Nothobranchius furzeri: one gene and its partners. The protein of the gene in region 5 interacts with the protein of the main gene of each other region in a pairwise test. Links are inferred from orthologs where the notes say so. Each region holds a gene or a part of one and is shown on either strand. Other genes may lie near its edges. The genes, in order: cwf19l2, ppp1r16b, bag3, mettl17 and sf3b4.

Region 1 (4,018 bases), on a different chromosome or scaffold from region 5:
ACATTGGATTACTAACATTAACTTATTTTTATGTTGCTGACTGTGTTCAGTGCATTCCTAATTAGTTGTCATTTGCAATGATAGGGAAGTAACCATCTTTTGGAAACAAGAAGTTGTGTTTTTTCCATGCACAGCAATAGCGATGCTTTTCATTGTTGAATTAAAAGCAATGTGACATTTACCTCTGGGGGTGTTCCAAAAAGGGTACTTCACCGTTCGATTCGATTTAGATTATGGGAGCTTCGATGCTTCGATTATAATGATTTTTGGTTCGATTCGATTACTGGTGCCACGATTCTTCGATTATTGACATTTTTAATGCTTTTTTCATACAAGATTGTCTTCTTCTTTATCTACATTTGTAAATAATTAACCTATCAATTAATTCAGTTCCTCTAAAACTACTCTCTGTAAGTAAATACATTTTTTTAACATTTAACTATTTTTCAAAGACAAATTCTTATTTTATGACTGTATGACGTGTAAATATTTGCACTTTGACCAACTTAACTTCGATCAGGGAAAGCTTTACTTACACTAGTGTCCCCTCCATTGTTGGGAAACACTGAAAACAGGCAAGCCCTGGATTTAATGAGGTAATTAATTCAAGTAAACAAGATTTTTACTTCCATCAAATTTATTTAATGGAAACTTATGAGTCTGGCATATGATAACATTACAAAAAAAGCTGCCATACAGATCAAATAAATAAATTCAGCTTATTCAGTCTGGAATATAGGTAACAGAAAAAACCTGCTATATTTGAAGGTAATATGTTGTATTTTTTCAGAACAAAAGTGCATAATTCAACTGAACATATATTCAGCCTGGAGCTTCAGTACAGTGAGGCGAACACAACAAAATCACAACATGCCCTATAGGTTAAAAAAAATAAATTGTAAGTCGCTTTGGGTAAAAGCGTCTGCTAAGCACATAAACAACATAAACAACATAAACAACATAAAATAGAGCAGAGTGACACTCATACTCCCTCTCCTCCCTCTTGTTCCCCTACATCCTCCTGTTGTGTGAGATGGGCAAATGTCAACATTGTGCTACTTTGACTCTCACTCATCTCTCGAGTTTGAAGAACGTGACTCACCAACTTCCACCCGTTCTTGTCCGACGCAAGAACAAAATGCGCCGTTACAGTAACGAAGGATTTGGTGGCAACCGATGTCCACGCATCGCATGTGAGCGCTATCCCGGTTGCCTTCTTCATGGACTCCAGAACGCTTGCTTTGGTTTCCTTGTAGAGGTGGGGGGCTTCTTTTTCTGCAAAGTGTTTTTGGTGAGGAAGTTTGTAGCGCGGCTCCATGGTGCGCACCACTAACCGAAACCCCCTGTTGTTTACTGCTGAATACGGGTGTAGATCCGTCGCGATTACAGTAGCTATTGCTTTTGTAATGCTCCTCGCCTTCTCTGAGTTCTTCGGTAGTTTGGAGACAGTCTCCAAGATGGAGAAAGAGGTCAAAGAGTTAGTGCCACTCACTAAACAGTCCGGGCGGCGCGCGTTAAGGCTCCGGTTACGTTTTTTTTTTTAAGTACCGGCTTCGCAACAAAACTTTGATGTTATGTTTTTTTAAGCATTGACGTTCATTAATCGATGCCGAAACAACATGTTAAGCTTTTAGATGCATCGCCACATCGATTAATTGCACCCACCCCTACTTACCTCCTCTATCTGCTGCAGCCTCTGGTTGACTTCAGGGAGAATCCAAGTATCTTCTCCTCTCAGCCTCTTCAGCTCCTTCCTCCTCTCCTCCTTCTCATATTGCTGCTTTGCCTGTTGGCCCGCATAGAAATATGAACAGAAACAAAATATTACTATTACACATACATTTAGATTGCATCAGAGGACCAATTTACGTGTCCAATTTATGTCTCCCTTCTCATTTTCTCCTCCACATTCCCAGAGATGTAAAAATGTATTTCTGGAAGATCTGCTGGTCTGACATTAATGATAAAACATGTAAACCAAGAAAACAAAGATTCAGTTAAGCAGTTTCTATTTTGTTGACATCTACCTCCTCTACTCTAAAAGGTGAGGTGTAAAGGAGAAGATCGTTTGAAAAGACAAGTTGACAACACTGAGCTCCTAAACCACACTGAGCCATTTCCTCTTTAAAACTTAGCTTCATAAATCAGATCCAGCCACCATTATGACTTTGGTCAATTCAGACACAGGTGAGCTAAATAGATAGTGTGTGTGTGTGTGTGTGTGTGTGTGTGTGTGTGTGTGTGTGTGTGTGTGTGTGTGTGTGTGTGTGTGTGTGTGTGTAGCTGCTTAGCAGAAACAGATAACATGCAACTGTAAAATTGTGTACATAAGTGCTGACAACCTGCTCTAATCCAAACACTCACTGGGCATGGTAAATAACTGAGACAAATACAACACAAATTAAAGGCAGCTCTGCTATCTGTCCGAGTCAGTGTTTGACTCGTAATTTCCTGTCCGGATACATCTTCAAGGTAGTACACATCAGCAGAATGATATACAGATATGATGTACCCAAACGTTAAAATGCTAGCTGTTAGCCTTCTTAGCGTGTTAGCTTATACTCAGAAACTCGGGGTACGATTTAAACCGTAACTAACACAACGAAATAGCCTTTTGTTACACGTGAATCTTGCTTTTCCAAAGCAAACGCGTACCTTTTCTAGCACCTCTTCTCGCGACTGCCTCTTTTTCTCTTTCTTTTCGTCGATGCTGCTCGAACTCTCAAAACTAACACCATACGTCGCCATGACACCGTCGTGAATGTTTTGTCAACTGTCGTAAAGCAACGCAGTTTACGTCAACTGAGGACTTGTGGCTCATAGTGCAAAAGGACCAAGGACAGGCGCATCAATTTAAATAATATGAAAAAAAATATATATATTTTCTTATAGAACTTAAATAATATATTTACTTATAAAATATTATAAACACAACTAATATATCTATCTATCTATCTATCTATCTATCTCTCTCTCTCTCTCTCTCTCTCTCTCTCTCTCTCTATATATATATATATATATATATATATATATATATATATAATGTTCTAAAAAAATTTAACGGTCACCTCTGTTAAAAAAAAGTCTTGGAGTGAGATTTTCTTTATTTAGTGTGTGTGTGTGTGTGTGTGTGTGTGTGTGTGTGTATGTGTGTAAAGCTGCTTAGCAAAAAAAGATAACATGCAGCTGTAAAATTGTGTTCATAAGTGATTACAACCTGCTATAATCCACACTGGGCATTTGGCACATTGTGTTTAATACATTTTGCCTGTGTCTTTTCACTTTATTACACATAAATCAATTAATTGACTTAAATGTTTAGATGTCTTTGCATGAATTAAATACTTGAGGTGATGTTGACATGTGGTGGAAAGTTTGTGTCAATAGCCCACTTAGAAAAACCATTACTGATAAAAATGCTGATGTGTCAAATACTTATTCTCCTCTATTTGACTTTGATGTGATGTCTATGTGCTGAACTGAAACATTGGGACAGCAGTAGCTCAGGAGGTAGAGGGAGTTGTCCGGCAATCCGAAGACTGCAGGTTCGATCCCAGCTTCAACCAGAGAATGCTGCTGTTTTGTCCTTGGGCAAGACACTTAACCCACTTTTCCTGCTGGTGGTGGTCAGATGAACCAGCAGCACCAGTGTTCAGCAGGTCTTGCCTGTTAGTGTACCCCAGGGCAGCTGTGGCTACACTGTAGCTCATCACGATGTTGTAAAGCGCCTTAGGGGGTTGTAGAACCCTAAGAAGGTGCTATACAAATACAGGCCATGTACCACTGTGTAAAAATAAAAAAACTGAAGGTATGTGAATGCAATCAGATCTGTCACTAGGTACGAATCATACATTCTGGTTATTATATTTAGAATGCAATTACATATATTAAAGATGTTCCCCAAATCCACAGTCACATCAAGTAATGACTGCTAGGGAAATGCAAAATAAAGGCACAAGAAATTGTTTTGTCATATCCAAGATCAATTTTTTATTTCCGGTCCATATTTTAAGCAACT
Region 2 (4,128 bases), on a different chromosome or scaffold from region 5:
AACGATGTCGGGCTGTCTGAGTCAAAACTCTCAGATGGAAAACAAAAATGTACCGACAGCTGAAGGATAAATTGGACACCCTGCTGCTAATCCTCTTGTGATCACCCTCTGGGTCGTGACCCAGCCGTTACAAATCATTAGCTGCATTAAAGATTCTCACAGCACGCGCTTCTTTCACGGAGCTGACCCCATCTCAAACTGTTGTTCTATTTTATCTTAGATGTTGATGCTGAAAAGTCAACTATTCATTAATTTCACGTGTTCTCCCGTGGAAGGGCTGTCTCATCTTTGCGCTCGTTGTGAAATCAGATGAACTTTGACACAAACAGAAACTCTCAGCGCCGGTAAACCGATGATGGAAAAAGATGCTGTAGTAAGTGATTGTTCTGCTTGTTTCCTGTCCGTGTTTTTTAACAGCTTGGGTATGAGCTGCAGAGGAAATATAGCGTGAGCATGGTGGCAGTCTGGAAGTGGCAGCGCGGTGCTTCGTGAAGTGTTTCATCAGACGGTGCTGCAGGACAACGCGGCTCCTGTAGTGGAAGGCTACAAACATGAGGAAACTTTTCATGCAAGAGGCGTTCATGTTTTCATTTAAAAAGCAATGAGGGCTTTTGTTTTTGCATTTTTCTATTGGGCTTTTGATACTTGAGGGCTCTCAAGTAGACTGATGTTACTTCATAAAGTGTGTTTCAAATGTCCTACACGTGTAAGGACGATTTGTTTATGACTGCTGTTATAAAGGGTGCAAAAATGTAGAGCAGAAATGCACAGAAATCCCCTTTTCAGCTCATTGGCCCAACACTTCACCCCTCCTTCTCATCAGTTTTTCTCTTTGCTTGCAGCTTTAAGGAAGCGGTTAACCTTGATGGTGGATGGTAGACAGATCTATAGCAGCTCACGAAGCAAATGGAAAACTGTGTCCGCTTTGATCAATCCTCTGGTTTCAAACGGAAAGATTTAGCGCCATTTTCAGGAAGTTGATTTTGTCCTGCAAACTTGAATTTATGTATGGTGTAAAAATGGTTCAAAGTAATGCAAGAATGGTGAGAATTTGTGAGAAAAGGGACTGCAGTTTTGTCTGAGTCTGGTGCTATTTGGCAGGGAGCAGACCGATTGAGAGTAGCTCTTGCCAGTTTAGTAGCTTAGCTCTAAATTGTTGCTCTTTACTGTTGAACTGAAGCAACACTTCCTGAGAGAATTTGGTTTAATATTTTAAAACATTCGTGTAAAATCCAGTTAACATTGTGAGTAAAATAAAAAGGATGATAAGACAAATGTTTATATCTCTGCATGTCTTCTTCCAGGTGTTTCACAGGTGCTGAAAGAAAGATGGTGAGGATAAAAGGTGGAGGCCACAGCCGACGGTCCAGACCTCGCTAGAGTTGCACGATCTCCATCGTCTCACCTCTTCACCATCATCATCGTCTTCATCCACCACTGCTGTCCATCCCACCTAGTACCATGGCCAGCCACCTAGAGCTGATCCAGGAGCTGCAGCAGCTGGACAAGGTGCCAAGTCTAGAGAGGCTGCGGGCGGCCCAGAAGCGCCGGACCCAGCAGCTGAAGAGGTGGGCCGTCTACGAGAAGGAGATGCAGAACAAGAAGCGAAAGGCGGATAGGAAGGGACGAAACGGCAACAACCTGCAGCAGTCAGAGTTCAGGAGGCGAGTGTCATTCGCTGCCAGCGTGGCGCTTCTGGAAGCGTCGGCCAGGAATGACCCAGATGAAGGTTTGTAATATATTATAAACATAGTTTATTTATTCCTAAAGCACAAATGCATTTTGGGTATTTTGTTGTTTTGTTGCAGCACATGAATAACTACGTTAATACCAGCCTCCCGTCATTCCCCCTCCCAGATATCCAAATGCCAAGGTTATGAAAACGATTAGCTCTGCCTTCCCACTCAAGCAGCCCAAGTCACTCCATTCAAACCAAATTTGTTCTGCTACATGACCGTTTTATCGCTGGGGAAATAATGGACTTGTCACACCGAGATGAAACTCTGCCAGTCTTTTAATTGAAAATGCTGTGCATACTGCCCCCCTGTTAGAAGATAATAATTGTTTTCCTCCTGTAGAGGCAGTTCCATGGGGCCTTGGCTATGTTTTTGTGATGCTGCGATGTCAAAACGCTGCTTTCTCTCTTATATGGTGTCTTATTTAACATCACTTTAACATGAAATTGGTTTGAAGTCTTTTACCAGAATAAAAATGGCCCACAGCAGTGTCGCTGCAGATACAGATACCTCCACAAGGCTGCGGTGATTCTAGGGTAAACAGGCGTGAGCTGGGCGTGTGCAGGATGCACCCAACATGCTGCAGTGTCACATTGTTTTGGAAGTGATTTCAGCAACATTTTAAAGGTTGTTATTTGGCTGCTGTGCCACGGGGGAATTCTCCTCTTTAATGTTTTCACGTTCAAAGATGGTTGGACAGGAAGTCATTTTTGCTTTACCACCACATTATCTAGAACAGTGGTTCCCAAACTTATTTAGCCGCGCACCCCCTTCTATGTCCCGACCATGTCGACGCACCCCCCCCCCCCAGCCCCCACATTGGAGCATGGCTCTATATATATATATATATATATATATATATATATATATATATATATATGTATATATATATGTGTATATATATGTGTATATATATATGTATATATATATATATATATATATATATATCAGATGTCAAGCTAAACAGACAGGGTTAAAAAAATTCCCCATCACTTTCATTTTTTAAATAGTAATTAATAAACATTCGATACCATTACAATTTCCTTTGATTTAATTTTAAATAAATATTAAGAGTGCCCAGGTAGCACATAAAAAATGCAATTTAACAGTTTTCTTAAAGTAGGAACGTTTAACCTGTGCGGCCAGAGCGCTCTCCTTCCTTCTGCTCTGCGTAAACCTGAACTGATCACCTACTTGTGCGTAATCAAATGTCAATAGGGGACAAGATATAGCCATGATGTTCACTTTTACCTCAGACCGACTTATTGCTGTTTTATGGTGTGGCTGAATCTGCGATCCGCTGCCACGCTGACTGGAGTAACAAATGGTGCAGTAACAGGACTTGTGGTCAGGTTCATGAGGAGTCACTGGCTGTAGTGGACCCGACTCATCCCAGAAGCTAATATCTTAATTTGACCTTGAATGAAAAATAACCTCTTAAAAGTTTTTATCACGGTGGAGGCAGCGTTCATTTCTGCCTTCAGTCTGACGGCGCGCCGGAGTTAAAGCAGCGTGTGCGCTTATTGAATCTGTGTGTATGTGTGTGTGCGCACGCACGCGCGGCACAGCCGCTCAAGTCACCGCTTCTCGCGCTATTTAAACCAATGTTGTAAAATGACTTCTGCCCAGCCCAGATGTGCTCACTTGTGCATCCGTGAGCCGTGATTCCGCTGGAACGCGTCTGACCTCTGACCGACGCACTCTGAACTTCAGATCTTCAGCGCGCTGTTAATAGCCTGAATGGGAATCATTTCTTGTTATATTGTTTCATCCACAATGTTCTGTGTGTGAGGTTTACAATGTCAGAACACCTGTGTGAGACAGGTGTTAATTACAATCTGCCAGAATGACTCACCACCTTCAGATTCCTCCAACACCGTTAAAAATGATCAAATACTGAACATATCGGCGTGCGCAGGCCAGAGTGCTGAAGCTCAGCGCATTGTTATTATGAAGCTAGGGCACATGTGGAGGACGCGCACGCGCGCAAAAATATACTTGTTTTCAATTACATTTATTGTGCCCACTTACTTTTTCTTTGGCCCACCCATATAAGAGTTTCTGGCTACGCTAATGGTGACATATGACAATCTTCTCTGAGCTCCGCAGCCATTACACTTTTCACCTCGCGCACCCCCTAGCGGCAGCTCGTGCACCCCCAGGGGTGCGCGCACCACACTTTGAGAATCCCTGATCTAGAAATATGCAAAGTCGTTGAAAAATTTGTCATGTCAATTTTTAATTATAAAGCACTTTTCATACCAAAGGCAACTCGAAGTGCTGTACAGAAAATAAAACAATAACCACAATAACCCTCCCCCTCAACCACACACACACACACACACACACACACACACACACACACACACACACACACACACACACACACACA
Region 3 (3,211 bases), on a different chromosome or scaffold from region 5:
AGAGTCGCGATGGGGGGTGAATATTGTTGGAGAAGCCCTCTCCCTGGGGGGCTGCATAGCAGCAGAGAAGCCGGGCCAGTCTTCTGTCTGGTGACGGTGGTCCGAGAAGGGAATGCGCTGAGAATAGACCGAGGAGTTTAACTGAGGCTGCGTTTGGCCCCCCCCACCCTCGTGGATCACCGGGATGGGGATGTAACCGAGCTGCAGGCCGGTGCTGCTGGACCGTGGCGGTTGGTGATGGGAGGCAGGGTAAATCTTGAAAACAACAGAGCAGTAACATTTAAATAAAAGGCTAAATGTTTGTAATATTGCTAGATTAGTGGTGGAACTACATTCATAACCTACCTCTGTGACTGGTGAAGCTGGTGAGCTGGCCTTTCCAGGCTCAGTGGTGCAGCTGTCTGAAGGTCCGTGTAAAGGCGATCTGGGTCTGCCGTGGTGGAGCCCAGACGCCGGAGTCTGCACATCCGTCCCGATGTTCTGTGCAAATGATGGCTGGATGTAAGAGTAACACGGATGCTGCGGTTGCCTCACGTCTGATCCCTCATGGACGATTGGGATGGGTATATAACCGGGACGAAGAATGGGGTGCTTCATCTCCCTCACAAAGGTCTTCGGAGGCTCCTGAGGAGTTGGTTCTGCTGGAACGGTGGGCCCATTCGCTGACACTTCTCGACACTGAAACCCAAAGTTGAATGGACAAGACTTAGTGAATTTCAGCTGTTATTGTTTACCTTTTTTAAGAAAAAGTCCTACGTGCAAGCCTTGCAAACCCTCCTGTATATGTAAATATAAAGTCTGGCCACAACCCACAGACAAAACTCAGTCGTGGGGTAGTAACTACACCAACGGCTGCACCTATCAAGTTTGCAGATGACATCACTGTCACAGGACTCATCTGTGATGGGGATGAGTCTGCCTACAGAATGGAGGTCGAGTGGCTGGTGTCCTGGTGCAGCTCCAACAACCCGGTGCTAAATGCACAGACGACAGCGGAGGTTGCTGTGGGCTTTAGGAGCACACGGTACCTCTTCAGTGTGGTATGCTGGAGCTACCAGCAGGAACAAGAAGAAGCTGCAGCGTGTTGTACGCTCTACTGAGAAGCTCACTGGCTGCAAACTCCCCCCCCATACAGGACCTGTACACCTCCAGGACACCGAGGCGTGCAGGTCGGATCACAGCTGACATGTCACCGTGGACACGGTCTTTTTGACTCGCTACCATCTGCCAGGAGAGAAGAACAGTTTCTTCCCCGACTCATGACAATCCTAGGGCTGCCCACTCCAGTCGCTTGGTTTCAGTCACATGACCCTGTGTTGTGTTCGTTCTTGAACTGATCTGCTCTGATCAGTACCTGCACCGTCTTGTACATAGTAGCCATTTCTCTAATTATTGCCACTTTATATTATTATTTTATCATGATTATATTCTTACTTCCTATATTCTCTCATTTTTATCTTTCTTTTTTGCACCAAGTGCCGCAGCGGTTTCCTAATGTTGTGATTTCTCGCATATATGGCAATAAAACCATTCTGATTCTGATCTACGGTTGTCTTTCAAACAATCTGCGCCCAACTTGCTAGGACCAATCAGAACAACGTGACATATTCATCACCACGGTAACCAGTCTGACATTCCGTCAAAGTAGAACAGGCAAATACATCCTTTTCAAATTAAATGACTTAAGTACCTCTATCTGCTCTTGACTCTAAGAAAAGCCCACATCTAAATCGTCCAAAGTTCCTGAGCCGACCCCTAAAGTTTCTTCGTCACCGCTCTGGTGCTAAGCCCGCCCAACGTGTCTACAAATGTAGAACGCTGTGATTGGCTAGACTCAAAACTGATCAGGCCAGTGGTAGACCTGCTGAGGCTTGGTGTGGCTAAACTGACCTGCAGAGCTAAATCTTTAGCTACCGCTCCGGTTTGTGTGGATTTCTAGGCTAACATTTTACTAATTCAGGGCCGTTCATAATAAAAATGGAGGGCACTAAAATTATTTGTCTCTGATAAAGTTGGAATCTTTTTGGTGAAATGCTGAATTTTAAATATTGCCTGATTTTTTTCCACTCAACATCACACGAGCATTTGTAATCTGTTACCATCATGATTTTGTAACTGACCCGGTTAAAAACCTTTTTCCAGCAGCCATCTTGAATTAGACTTACGCCACACGGCGGTTATAGATTGTTGTTTCTAAACATTTGGGGCTGATCTAAAAACGCTAAATTAATTCCAGGATGCATTTGGAAAACAAAATAAACACAATAAAAGTAGAAATTTTTAGAAGCTAATCAACTGAGCTGTGAAAAAAAGAATTGACCCGTTTACAGATTTCTTGTTTTTTCGAACAGTTAAATGTTTCAGAACAACAAACACATTTCAACATCAGAGAAAGTTAAAATGAACAAATACATAATATTATGTATTACTATTATATTATAATTTCATTCATTAAGGGAACTAATCAGTCCAAATCTTAGTTCAGTTCCACCAGCAACACCCAGACCTGCAGGATTAATAAATCAGTTCAATACAACCTGTGTGACAACATGAAGTAGACATCTTGCTGCAACTGGTGGAACCGTGAATTCTGCTCTCTAGCAGAACATCCTGAAGGAGAAATTCTGACCTTTGACCTTAGAGACCACTCATGCAAAAAAAAAAAAAACTCTCCAATGAGGCTGAATTATGAGTGCGTCAAAAAAATCCTCCACAGTGATGAGACCAGTCACAAATGCTTTTTTAAAACTCTTTTTATTTCATTCAAAATTTATAAAATAAACACAAACAAATACATAAACGTAATGAAAAAAAAACATTTGAATGAAAACGAGCACATAACATTCACAATATAACCTTAGTCCCGTTCTACTGTTTATATATAATCATTGACATTTTAGTTTACCTTTTCATAATTACTTAATACATTTGATTTTATACATTTTTAAATATTTATAGCATGTGAGTTTGATTCTTTAATTTCTCTGTTAAGGGCGTTCCACAATCTTACACCATTTACAGAAATATTACATTCTGAATTCAGGTTTACATCAGACATCAGTCCCTTTTAACACGTACCCACTTACTCTCTTATGAAACATTTTCGGAATATTAGTTGGTAAATTACTCGTATTCGCTCTGTACATTATTTACAATATTTTCAAGTCAGGAAATTTCAGTATTTTATTTCTAATGGATAATGGATTAGAGG
Region 4 (4,149 bases), on a different chromosome or scaffold from region 5:
CATCAGCTTCCTGTAAACTCTCTTATAAAACAAACAACAAAAAACAAATGTACGATCAACAAATAATGTGTCTTGCCATCTTCAGTCTGAATTGATTTCTATAAATAAAAAACACCTGTTTTTACAGTCTTGGAGCGGATTTTTCTCTTGTATTTCGTCACAGGGTTAATCTGGACCATCTTCTTCAAATCCACTTCATATGCTGCCCCCGAGCCAAGAGTCAGAGTGACGGATGTCCTCCCTGAAGAAATGGCTGAATCAAGCAAGGCACAGGCTGTAGGCGGGTACGATTCCCACTGTCCTTCATCTCCTTTCCACTGCCACACTGTGATCACAAACAGAGCCAGAAAACAGTAAAACAGTTGTTTAAGTGCTGCATTATAGGAAAAACTGAAAATAATATTCCACAACAGACCTTTTATGAACTATAAAATACTGATATGACTTTATAAAACATGAATCAATTTCTAAACATCAAATTTCTGCCCTGAGTTGATTTCATTCATTAAATGTAATTATGTAGTTTCTTTTTACTACTTTTTAAACAAAGATGTGTTAATCAACTGGACTTTGCAGAGCCATTATATTGTTTTTCTACACTCAAACGAGGCTTTAGTTATTACTAAATTAATTAAATGTAGCAGTGAGTCACTTTATTCTAGTGATTTCCTCCAGAACTGCTTAATATTCGTGCTTTTCACCAGTTTTCGCGCCAAGTTTTGATTCAATTAGTTAAAACACAAATGTTGTCAAATATAAGTAATAGGTAGTGCAGGACATAGTTACCAAAGAATTGTGAAGATGAAAATAAAACCTAATTCTCTGTCCGGGCATGTTTAATGGCTACACTGCTTCCTTCCATGATGTGCTAAAAGCAAACACCAACCTGTTTTTGACGGGACTTCGTGGTTTTCTTGTGCGCGCTGGCTTTTATTTCTCGAACTTCTGGTTCGCCTCATGTTTGTGTATCAAAACAAGTTTATTTAACAGCAGGAAAAGCAGAAATCGAGAAGCAGTAGAAAACACGGCGGGAACTTTCTTTTCTTCGGATAGGCCTGTAGAGAGCAAAGCCTACCGAAGATGGTTTATTAAAAAGATGCCGCACTTCGTAACTAACTAGCGATGAATACAGAAGTTAGCAACGCAGCAATATACATCTGTTTACAACCAAATAATGATTTTTCTAATGATGTATATGTGGTAAAACAAACATTTTTAATCTAATCCTTCTTTTATGTGCTATTTGTTTCCGAATGTTAGCCAGTATCTGTAAACAAGATCAGAGAAAGAACTCTTCTTGTTTCCCTCGTGTAGGAACAAATCTTTAAGGCTCGATGGTTCCACTTTCAGTGGTGGCCGGAATTATTTTGTTGATGCAAATCAGTCGGTCGGTGTGCTTTACAATAGCGTGGATGAAAGTAAATGTTTACCAATATTTCAGTGCCGTTTAGACACCGAGAACATGGCATCAAGTAGCTATAAAGCCTGTGGTCTCAGTCAGAGAGTGGCTGTGGTGAAGATTTTGTTCAGGGTAAGTACTCCACCAGGTGTCTTTGAGTGCATCATTTTCACTGGAGGTCATTTATGTTTTGTGTACATTTATGGTCTGTAAATGACATGTCAGTTTGTAGAAAAGTAGCCCGGTTTGAATATTACATAAAATTATTTGTTTTCATATTTCTTTCCACAGTTTTGCAGTGACTAGTATTTTTATCCTAATGTCCTTATTTCCTTGTTTTCCTGTATTTTTCTTTTCTCTAGTACTGCTTAATATTTTGCTAAGACTGTGCTTTCTTCACACCTTACATAAATTTTTTGTATATTTTTGGAATTATTTATATGCAAACAAACATGTACCTCATACACATATTTTTATATGTCGATTATGTACTCTAACAAAGTCATATAATGCAGCCACTCTGCTTTTCATTTTCCTATTCTGACACTTTGTAATAATAATTTATTCCAGACTGTGAGTGCTGCTGCTAACCCACAGCCCAAAGCAGATTTCCTTAAAGGAGAACCCCACAGGAAACATCCTGGTATGACCAGCCTGAATACACTTCGGCTACCCCAGGAGCTCCAAGTTGCTGCACAGTCAGTCATTCAAAGTGAGATCAGCTGTCATCAACTCTAGCTGCCATAATAATAATAATAATAATAATAATAATAAATAAAACTGACAATTTTCCCACATGTTTGTTTTTTCTTTGTGTAGAAGCTCAGGTGACCCAGCTTACTGATCGCTGTCACAAACTCATAAACTACTTGTGGAGTCGAAAGCGGATGGTTGAGGACGTGACTCTGAGGCAGAAAGCATTGGGTCTGGAGAAAGAACTCTGGGAGAAAGCCATGCAGAAGATGGGAGGTGAGCGAGGGTGGGATCAAGTAACGATGTATCCATGTAGCAGCCCCTGGAGACAATAAATATGTTTCTCTTTGCAGATATTGACGAGGAAGCGCTGAGGAATCAGATCAGGAAAAGGGTTCTCTCAGAGCTCAGACAAACTACATATCACTGGAATTCCCTGAAGTAATCAGAACTTAGAACTCAGCTTAATCTGAGAGTTTTGGTTCGTAACCGGCCCTTTTTGTGTTTCAGGTATGATGAAGAGCTGGGGGTGGTGTACATGGCCTCGCGGCTTGCTGGAGGTTTTGCAGCAGTGACGAGAGCTCTAAATGAGGTAATGAAGTGATTTGTGGAAGACTTTAGCCCCTGTACGTGCCTCTGATCACTCTTAAATTAAAACTGATGTGTTTTTGTGTTCATTCAGATAAAGAAGAGGGATCCCTCATTTGCTCCTCAATCTCTCCTGGATTTTGGGTCAGGATTGGGAACAGTTGCCTGGTTAGTGTGCAAATTAAAACCCTTTTTGTCTAAATGAGGTTAAGTGTGTGTGTGTTTTTTTGCCTCTCAAAGGGCATCACACTTGCACTGGGGAGACTCTTTAAAAGAGATGGTGTGTGTGGACAGCTCTGGGCCTATGAGCGTTTTGGCTGAGCGACTTCTTAAAGGTTGATCTGTTATATTTGTCACATTAACAGAACATTTTTTAGAAGATGCTGAATGTGCTTTCTTCTGCGCAGGTGATGAGGAGGAGGCTGAACCTCTTTTCAAACACGTCTATTTTAGACGATTTCTTCCCGTCTCTCCTAAGGTAAAACATCCCAGGTTTTTGGTTTTGTTACAGAGGAAATGCTGATCTGGATTTACCACGAGAAAGCAATCTCAGATTAACTTAATTATGTTAAAATTGGTAATAAAAGCTACAAATCTGACTCCCCAGTTTCTCTCCTCAGGTTCAGTTTGACTTGGTGGCGGCTGCTTTCACTCTGTCAGAGCTTCCCAGCGTGAAGGAGCGAGAAGATGCTGTGATCACTCTGTGGAGAAAAACATCCTCCTACCTGGTTGGTTAGATCAATAATTCAACTTTATATTTCCTTTTACGCCTTCTGAGTTTTTTCCAGTGTTTATCCTTCACGTGTCGACATTGGCTTCTTGCCTTGTAATATTTGATTCTGTTAATCTTAGACCTGCTTTTATTACTCTTTTAAAATATTTTTTATGTAATTTAACATTTTAAAAATATTTTAATGGTTTTTTTTTGTTTTTGTATAATATGCTCTCAATATTGTTTGTTTTTTTATTTTTCTGAGGTCCAACAAATCGAGAATAGCTAGGTGAAATTAAAAATGCACTTGAAATTAAAACTCAGGTCATGAGAAATTAAATGTGGAAAAAAATTCAGCTTATTTTAAGCTGTGTTTCATTATTTTTCCACACTTTGTCCTTCAGGTTCTGGTGGAAAACGGAACCAAAGAGGGCCATCAGATGCTCATGGACGCCAGAGACACTTTACTAAAGGTACTCCAGTGAAACTGCCGCTTGGTTCTTTCCTGGCGTTTCTGTGTAAAAGTTTTGACAGTTTAATAAATTGCACAACAGAAACAAGAGCAGATTGTTCACGACCCCAGACCAGCAAGAGTGTTCGCCCCGGTAGGTTAAAGGAAAAGCATCAGTCTTGGTTTGCGGCGTTGCATTTTTTGCTGCAGCTTCTTTTTGTTTACTCCTCAGTGTCCCCATGAGATGATGTGTCCCAAACTGGCCCGAGAGCCCATCACACCCTGCAACTTCCAGCAGCGCTACCA
Region 5 (4,178 bases):
AGAGCAATAAATGTCCAAAGAAAACATTTTAAAAAAATTCTTTTAAAAATATTTTTGGATTTTAATCCCAACAGTAGGGAATATCACTTTACTTTTTAAATAAAACCATAATACCTGAGAGTATATGACCTACTGGGGCCCCTGCCTCAAGTTATAAATACCTTTTGGACATAAATTAGAACATATTACTCTCTCACCTGCTTATTATGCAGCTTTTACTCATAAACTAATTTCTGGTACATTACAAGTTTATTAGTAATAATTAAACGCAAAAATATCCAAAAGTTGTACTAAAATGTTTATTTGCCAATTTTCTGTTTATCTGTACAATGAGCATAAATCAAAAACAGTTGGTTAAATTACTTCCAAGATAACAAAATCCAGTAGATCGAAACATGTATTTAAAAAAACAACAAGCTGAATGTTCCTGTGGTCTGACGTGGATCACGGAGCTCTTGGTGCTCTCAAGGGACCCGAGGAGGGGCACCGGGAGGTCTTGGTGGCATTGGAGGTGCTCTCTGGAAACCAAAAGGAGGTGGACGAGGAGGAACGGCACCATAGCCGGGAGGAGGCATGGGGGGAGGTCCTCTCATACCTGGAGGCACAGGGTGGGCTTGGGAAAAAAAAAAAAAAAAAAAGAAATAACAGGTTAAAAACAACTTTCATTTAAAAAAAATTGTATTTTTGAGAAAATGCCACAGTGCTCACCCATGGGGGGTCCATACGGTGCTCTGGGAGGCATGCCCATAGGAGGTGGGGGCATGCTGGGGGGCGGTGGAGCTCGAGCCGATCCTGGTGGAGCAGGTGGAGGCACCATGCCAGGAGGAGCAGGCGGCATGGGCATCTGAGGCATACCTGTGGGCCCGGATCAAACAAATAAAAATAACTCATTCAGGGCTAACAGCTGCATTTTAATAACCTGACATTTAAATTGAAACATTATTGTTTTTATTTCTTCACATTTGAAGGAGATGACTGAGGTTGATCCTGCACAATTTTATTAATCGTTATTGGACTTCTTAAAGCTAAAATGGGGAGCAGAGACTTAAATTTTCAGGCTTTTCTGCAACCGAGTTATACCTGGAGGCATGCTGGCCGGTGCGAAAGGTGGAGGAACAGCTGGAGGTCCACCAAGAGAAGATGGAGGACCTGGTGTCCCTGCTGATGGAGGCATGCCCATAGAAGGGGGCATCGTTGGAGGCATTGATCCAGGGGGAGGAACGTGAGGAAAGGCACCAGGAGGCGGCAAACCTGCGCAAAAAAAAAAACAAAACTATTATATAATTAACCCAATAAATGTAGAAAGGTACTTCTTTATCGGCAGTTAAGATTAGAGCAGTCATACCATGAAGAGGAATCCCGGGGCCCATTGCGGTTAGGAGTGGCGTCTGTGCAGATGGTGGGGGCGGAGCATCTGCAAACAGCTGATGTGGCCTGTCTGCCTGCGAGAGAGGGTTTTGTGCAGCTAGCAGTCGCTCTGCCGCTGAGCCATGGCGTTCTCCTTTAGAATCTTTCTTGAACGCGTACGACACAGTGATGGGCCGGTTGCACAGGTACTGGCCATTCATGGCCTCGATGGCGGCGTCGGACGCATCAAAGCTGGCAAAGTTGATGAAGGCGTAACCCTTGGAGTTGCCGGTGTCTGGGTCTCGCATGATCTTTGGAGTTTGTAGAATAACGCCAAAAGCACTGAACGTGTCGTAGAGCAGTTTTTCATCGATCTCCGGGTCCAAGTTCCCGATGAAGATATTAGCGCCAACATCCAGGTTTTTGTTGTGGGCGGAGGCCTTATTCACGCGAATCGGTTTGCCGTAGAGCTTAATCATGTTCATGATTTTAATGGCATAGTCAGCATCTTCCTCACTGAGGAACTCCACAAATCCATAACCTGAGTGGAACAGTTTCATTTGTTATGTACATTGTTACAGTGAATTTTAGGACTTTCATCCCATCTTGAATAGCCTGATTCTCACCTTGATGTTGACCTGTGACCCGATCTTTGGGCATGTGTGTGTTGACAACAGGGCCAGCCTGCAGAAAAAGCTCCCATAGCAACGGCTCTGACACCTTCTCATCCAAACCACCGACATACACGGTGGCATCTGGAAACACAAGAAAATACCTATTAAGGAAAACGGTGTTTACATTGATAGGTGAGCATTGCTACATGCTAATGTCGCGAGTTTTTAAGGCTAACTTTAGTTGTTTAGTGGTTCTAGTCCTGACTTGGAATAATCTCTGCATTTCAAATAAACAACATAAAACTCCCGTATGCTATCGTGAAGTCAAGCATTAAGTAATACAAGCATTAAGTAATACAATTAAAATAAACAAAAAACGGCTAACTTAGCTAGAAGCTAGGCTAACGAGACCGGAGACTTCCATGTGTTTGAGTACGCATTTACCCCCAAAACACGGGCTAATTAGACAGCTAACATTGGTGGGAAAGAGCGGATAAGAATTTCAATTGTTATAAATCAAGAGATATCGCTAAATAATGAAGGTGTAAGCGTTAAACCATTTAAACAATGAAATTACCTTGGTTTCTTTCTGAAATTGGTCCCGCTGCCATGTTGAATGACCAACGCTGGGAGAGCGTTGTGAAGGGAAGGCCCGCCTCTTCCGGTAAAACCCAACAAAATAAAATAAGATCAAATAAATTAAAGTAAAAATAAACTAATTCTTCTGTTTTTGTAGTTACATAAAAAATTGTTATACTCTGATTACACTAAAGACCCAGACATTCCTAAACAAAAAAAGACAGCAAATAAATGAATGTTAATTAAAAACTTGAAAGGCAATCAAAATCACTAAGTTTCATTTGAATTGATTTGATAGTTTTTTCTGGGATATTTTTAGTTGTATGGCACTTAACCATTAACAACAAATTCAAAACAAAGCCACAATTATTTTTATTATTTGATTTATTTCATATACATATAAATATACTAAAGGTATAAACATGGAATACAAAGTGTTCATAGAAAATACACACATTTAGGGTCTCAAAAATTTTAGAAAGTAACTATTTTTTATATATATATATATATATATATATAAAACACACATTAAAAATAGAAACTAACATCATGCACCAAAGACAAAAAATAAAACTGTTGCCAAAGCTGTTTATAAAATGAATTTAAAATAAGCATCAGTAAGGGAGCCTTCATAGATAATAGTCATTAAAATAACTGAAAGAGCTGAGAATAATTAATGGCTTGTGAAGAAAAATACATCTACTGAACTTTATTTTAAAAAGTAAACCTTAAAAATAAACAAAATTAAAGACCTCCAGGCTCACTCATTAAACCTGCTCAAATACACTTATTACATTTTCTTTTTTTGGCCCCTAAAACGAGAACAGAATTTCACAACACAAACCAAATAATGCAACACATATTTCACAAGCTGATTCACTAAAACCCGGTGTTCATAAACACAATCGCCTTCTTTTAACCTTCATAATATTTGTCACATAATAAAGAAATAATTTGACATTATGGCATAAATATGAGAAAGTATAGCACTGTCATGATACTTAGAGATAGTTTGGCTAGCAGGGAGCGAACCAAGTTGCTTCCTGGTTAGGAAGTGTTGCTTGGCAATCACCAAAGACCACAGAAAGAGAAAGGTTTAGACTAATTAAAAAAAACAAGTTATAGGCTGTTTTGCAATATGAGTACTTGTTTAAACGTGTGTACTATATTAATTGTGAAATGTCATTGGCGTTAGCCCGTGTACTGTTCCAATACCAAGTACGCATCATGGCAAGTACGCTCAAAGTTCCTGGATGTGTTCGTCCTTCACCCATTACAATAAAGTATCCATCTTTGGACTTGGACCAGAAAAGTATCCCATAATGCATTTAGTCACAAACCGTTATACCACAAATAGATAGTAAAGCTCATAAAAATAAAAATAATTACGTCTTCAAAGGGCCGCTCAAAAGACTGGCTCTTTTGAACGAAGCAAAGAAGTCTCAGTGAGAGTGGAAGGAGGGGGGCTGTTCATGATGGACGAAACCATAATGCATATTATTGAGCCTTTTATATACTTCAGCCTGATAATTTTGTTGTTTTATTTCATATTTTTTAGCAGTAAACCAGTTTTTTTTCGCTTGAAACGTTGTCGGATGGAATAGTCAATTAATCAACAGAAGCTTAGAATAGAACACT

Evidence for each region.
Region 1: the proteins of sf3b4 (region 5) and cwf19l2 interact in binary tests that used the Homo sapiens proteins (3 or more experiments, as listed by UniProt). The two-hybrid records come from large-scale screens. The link is inferred for Nothobranchius furzeri from reciprocal best matches to the Homo sapiens genes SF3B4 and CWF19L2.
Region 2: the proteins of sf3b4 (region 5) and ppp1r16b interact in binary tests that used the Homo sapiens proteins (3 or more experiments, as listed by UniProt). The two-hybrid records come from large-scale screens. The link is inferred for Nothobranchius furzeri from reciprocal best matches to the Homo sapiens genes SF3B4 and PPP1R16B.
Region 3: the proteins of sf3b4 (region 5) and bag3 interact in binary tests that used the Homo sapiens proteins (3 or more experiments, as listed by UniProt). The two-hybrid records come from large-scale screens. The link is inferred for Nothobranchius furzeri from reciprocal best matches to the Homo sapiens genes SF3B4 and BAG3.
Region 4: the proteins of sf3b4 (region 5) and mettl17 interact in binary tests that used the Homo sapiens proteins (3 or more experiments, as listed by UniProt). The link is inferred for Nothobranchius furzeri from reciprocal best matches to the Homo sapiens genes SF3B4 and METTL17.

What each region holds. Positions count from the first base shown.
Region 1 is NC_091753.1:35,505,602-35,509,619, forward strand, and holds the start of cwf19l2 (CWF19-like protein 2), read right to left. Parts: upstream 2,805-4,018; 5' UTR 2,749-2,804; coding exon 2,656-2,748; intron 1,787-2,655; coding exon 1,676-1,786; intron 1-1,675.
Region 2 is NC_091743.1:61,148,150-61,152,277, forward strand, and holds the start of ppp1r16b (protein phosphatase 1 regulatory inhibitor subunit 16B), read left to right. Parts: upstream 1-1,316; 5' UTR 1,317-1,461; coding exon 1,462-1,729; intron 1,730-4,128. UniProt on the Homo sapiens protein: Regulator of protein phosphatase 1 (PP1) that acts as a positive regulator of pulmonary endothelial cell (EC) barrier function. Involved in the regulation of the PI3K/AKT signaling pathway, angiogenesis and endothelial cell proliferation.
Region 3 is NC_091752.1:5,539,770-5,542,980, forward strand, and holds part of bag3 (BAG family molecular chaperone regulator 3), read right to left. Parts: intron 679-3,211; coding exon 346-678; intron 256-345; coding exon 1-255. UniProt on the Homo sapiens protein: Co-chaperone and adapter protein that connects different classes of molecular chaperones including heat shock proteins 70 (HSP70s), e.g. HSPA1A/HSP70 or HSPA8/HSC70, and small heat shock proteins (sHSPs), e.g. HSPB8.
Region 4 is NC_091751.1:41,153,254-41,157,402, reverse strand, and holds the start of mettl17 (ribosome assembly protein METTL17, mitochondrial), read left to right. Parts: upstream 1-1,336; 5' UTR 1,337-1,462; coding exon 1,463-1,531; intron 1,532-1,969; coding exon 1,970-2,111; intron 2,112-2,218; coding exon 2,219-2,368; intron 2,369-2,445; coding exon 2,446-2,533; intron 2,534-2,602; coding exon 2,603-2,684; intron 2,685-2,774; coding exon 2,775-2,848; intron 2,849-2,920; coding exon 2,921-3,015; intron 3,016-3,087; coding exon 3,088-3,158; intron 3,159-3,300; coding exon 3,301-3,408; intron 3,409-3,796; coding exon 3,797-3,865; intron 3,866-3,946; coding exon 3,947-3,997; intron 3,998-4,075; coding exon 4,076-4,149. Other genes in the region: parp2 (poly [ADP-ribose] polymerase 2), read right to left, coding at 1-21, 116-325, 887-959. UniProt on the Homo sapiens protein: Mitochondrial ribosome (mitoribosome) assembly factor. Binds at the interface of the head and body domains of the mitochondrial small ribosomal subunit (mt-SSU), occluding the mRNA channel and preventing compaction of the head domain towards the body.
Region 5 is NC_091759.1:1,629,952-1,634,129, reverse strand, and holds sf3b4 (splicing factor 3B subunit 4), read right to left. Parts: upstream 2,808-4,178; 5' UTR 2,573-2,807; coding exon 2,539-2,572; intron 2,103-2,538; coding exon 1,974-2,102; intron 1,889-1,973; coding exon 1,346-1,888; intron 1,252-1,345; coding exon 1,081-1,251; intron 856-1,080; coding exon 709-855; intron 614-708; coding exon 465-613; 3' UTR 286-464; downstream 1-285. UniProt on the Homo sapiens protein: Component of the 17S U2 SnRNP complex of the spliceosome, a large ribonucleoprotein complex that removes introns from transcribed pre-mRNAs.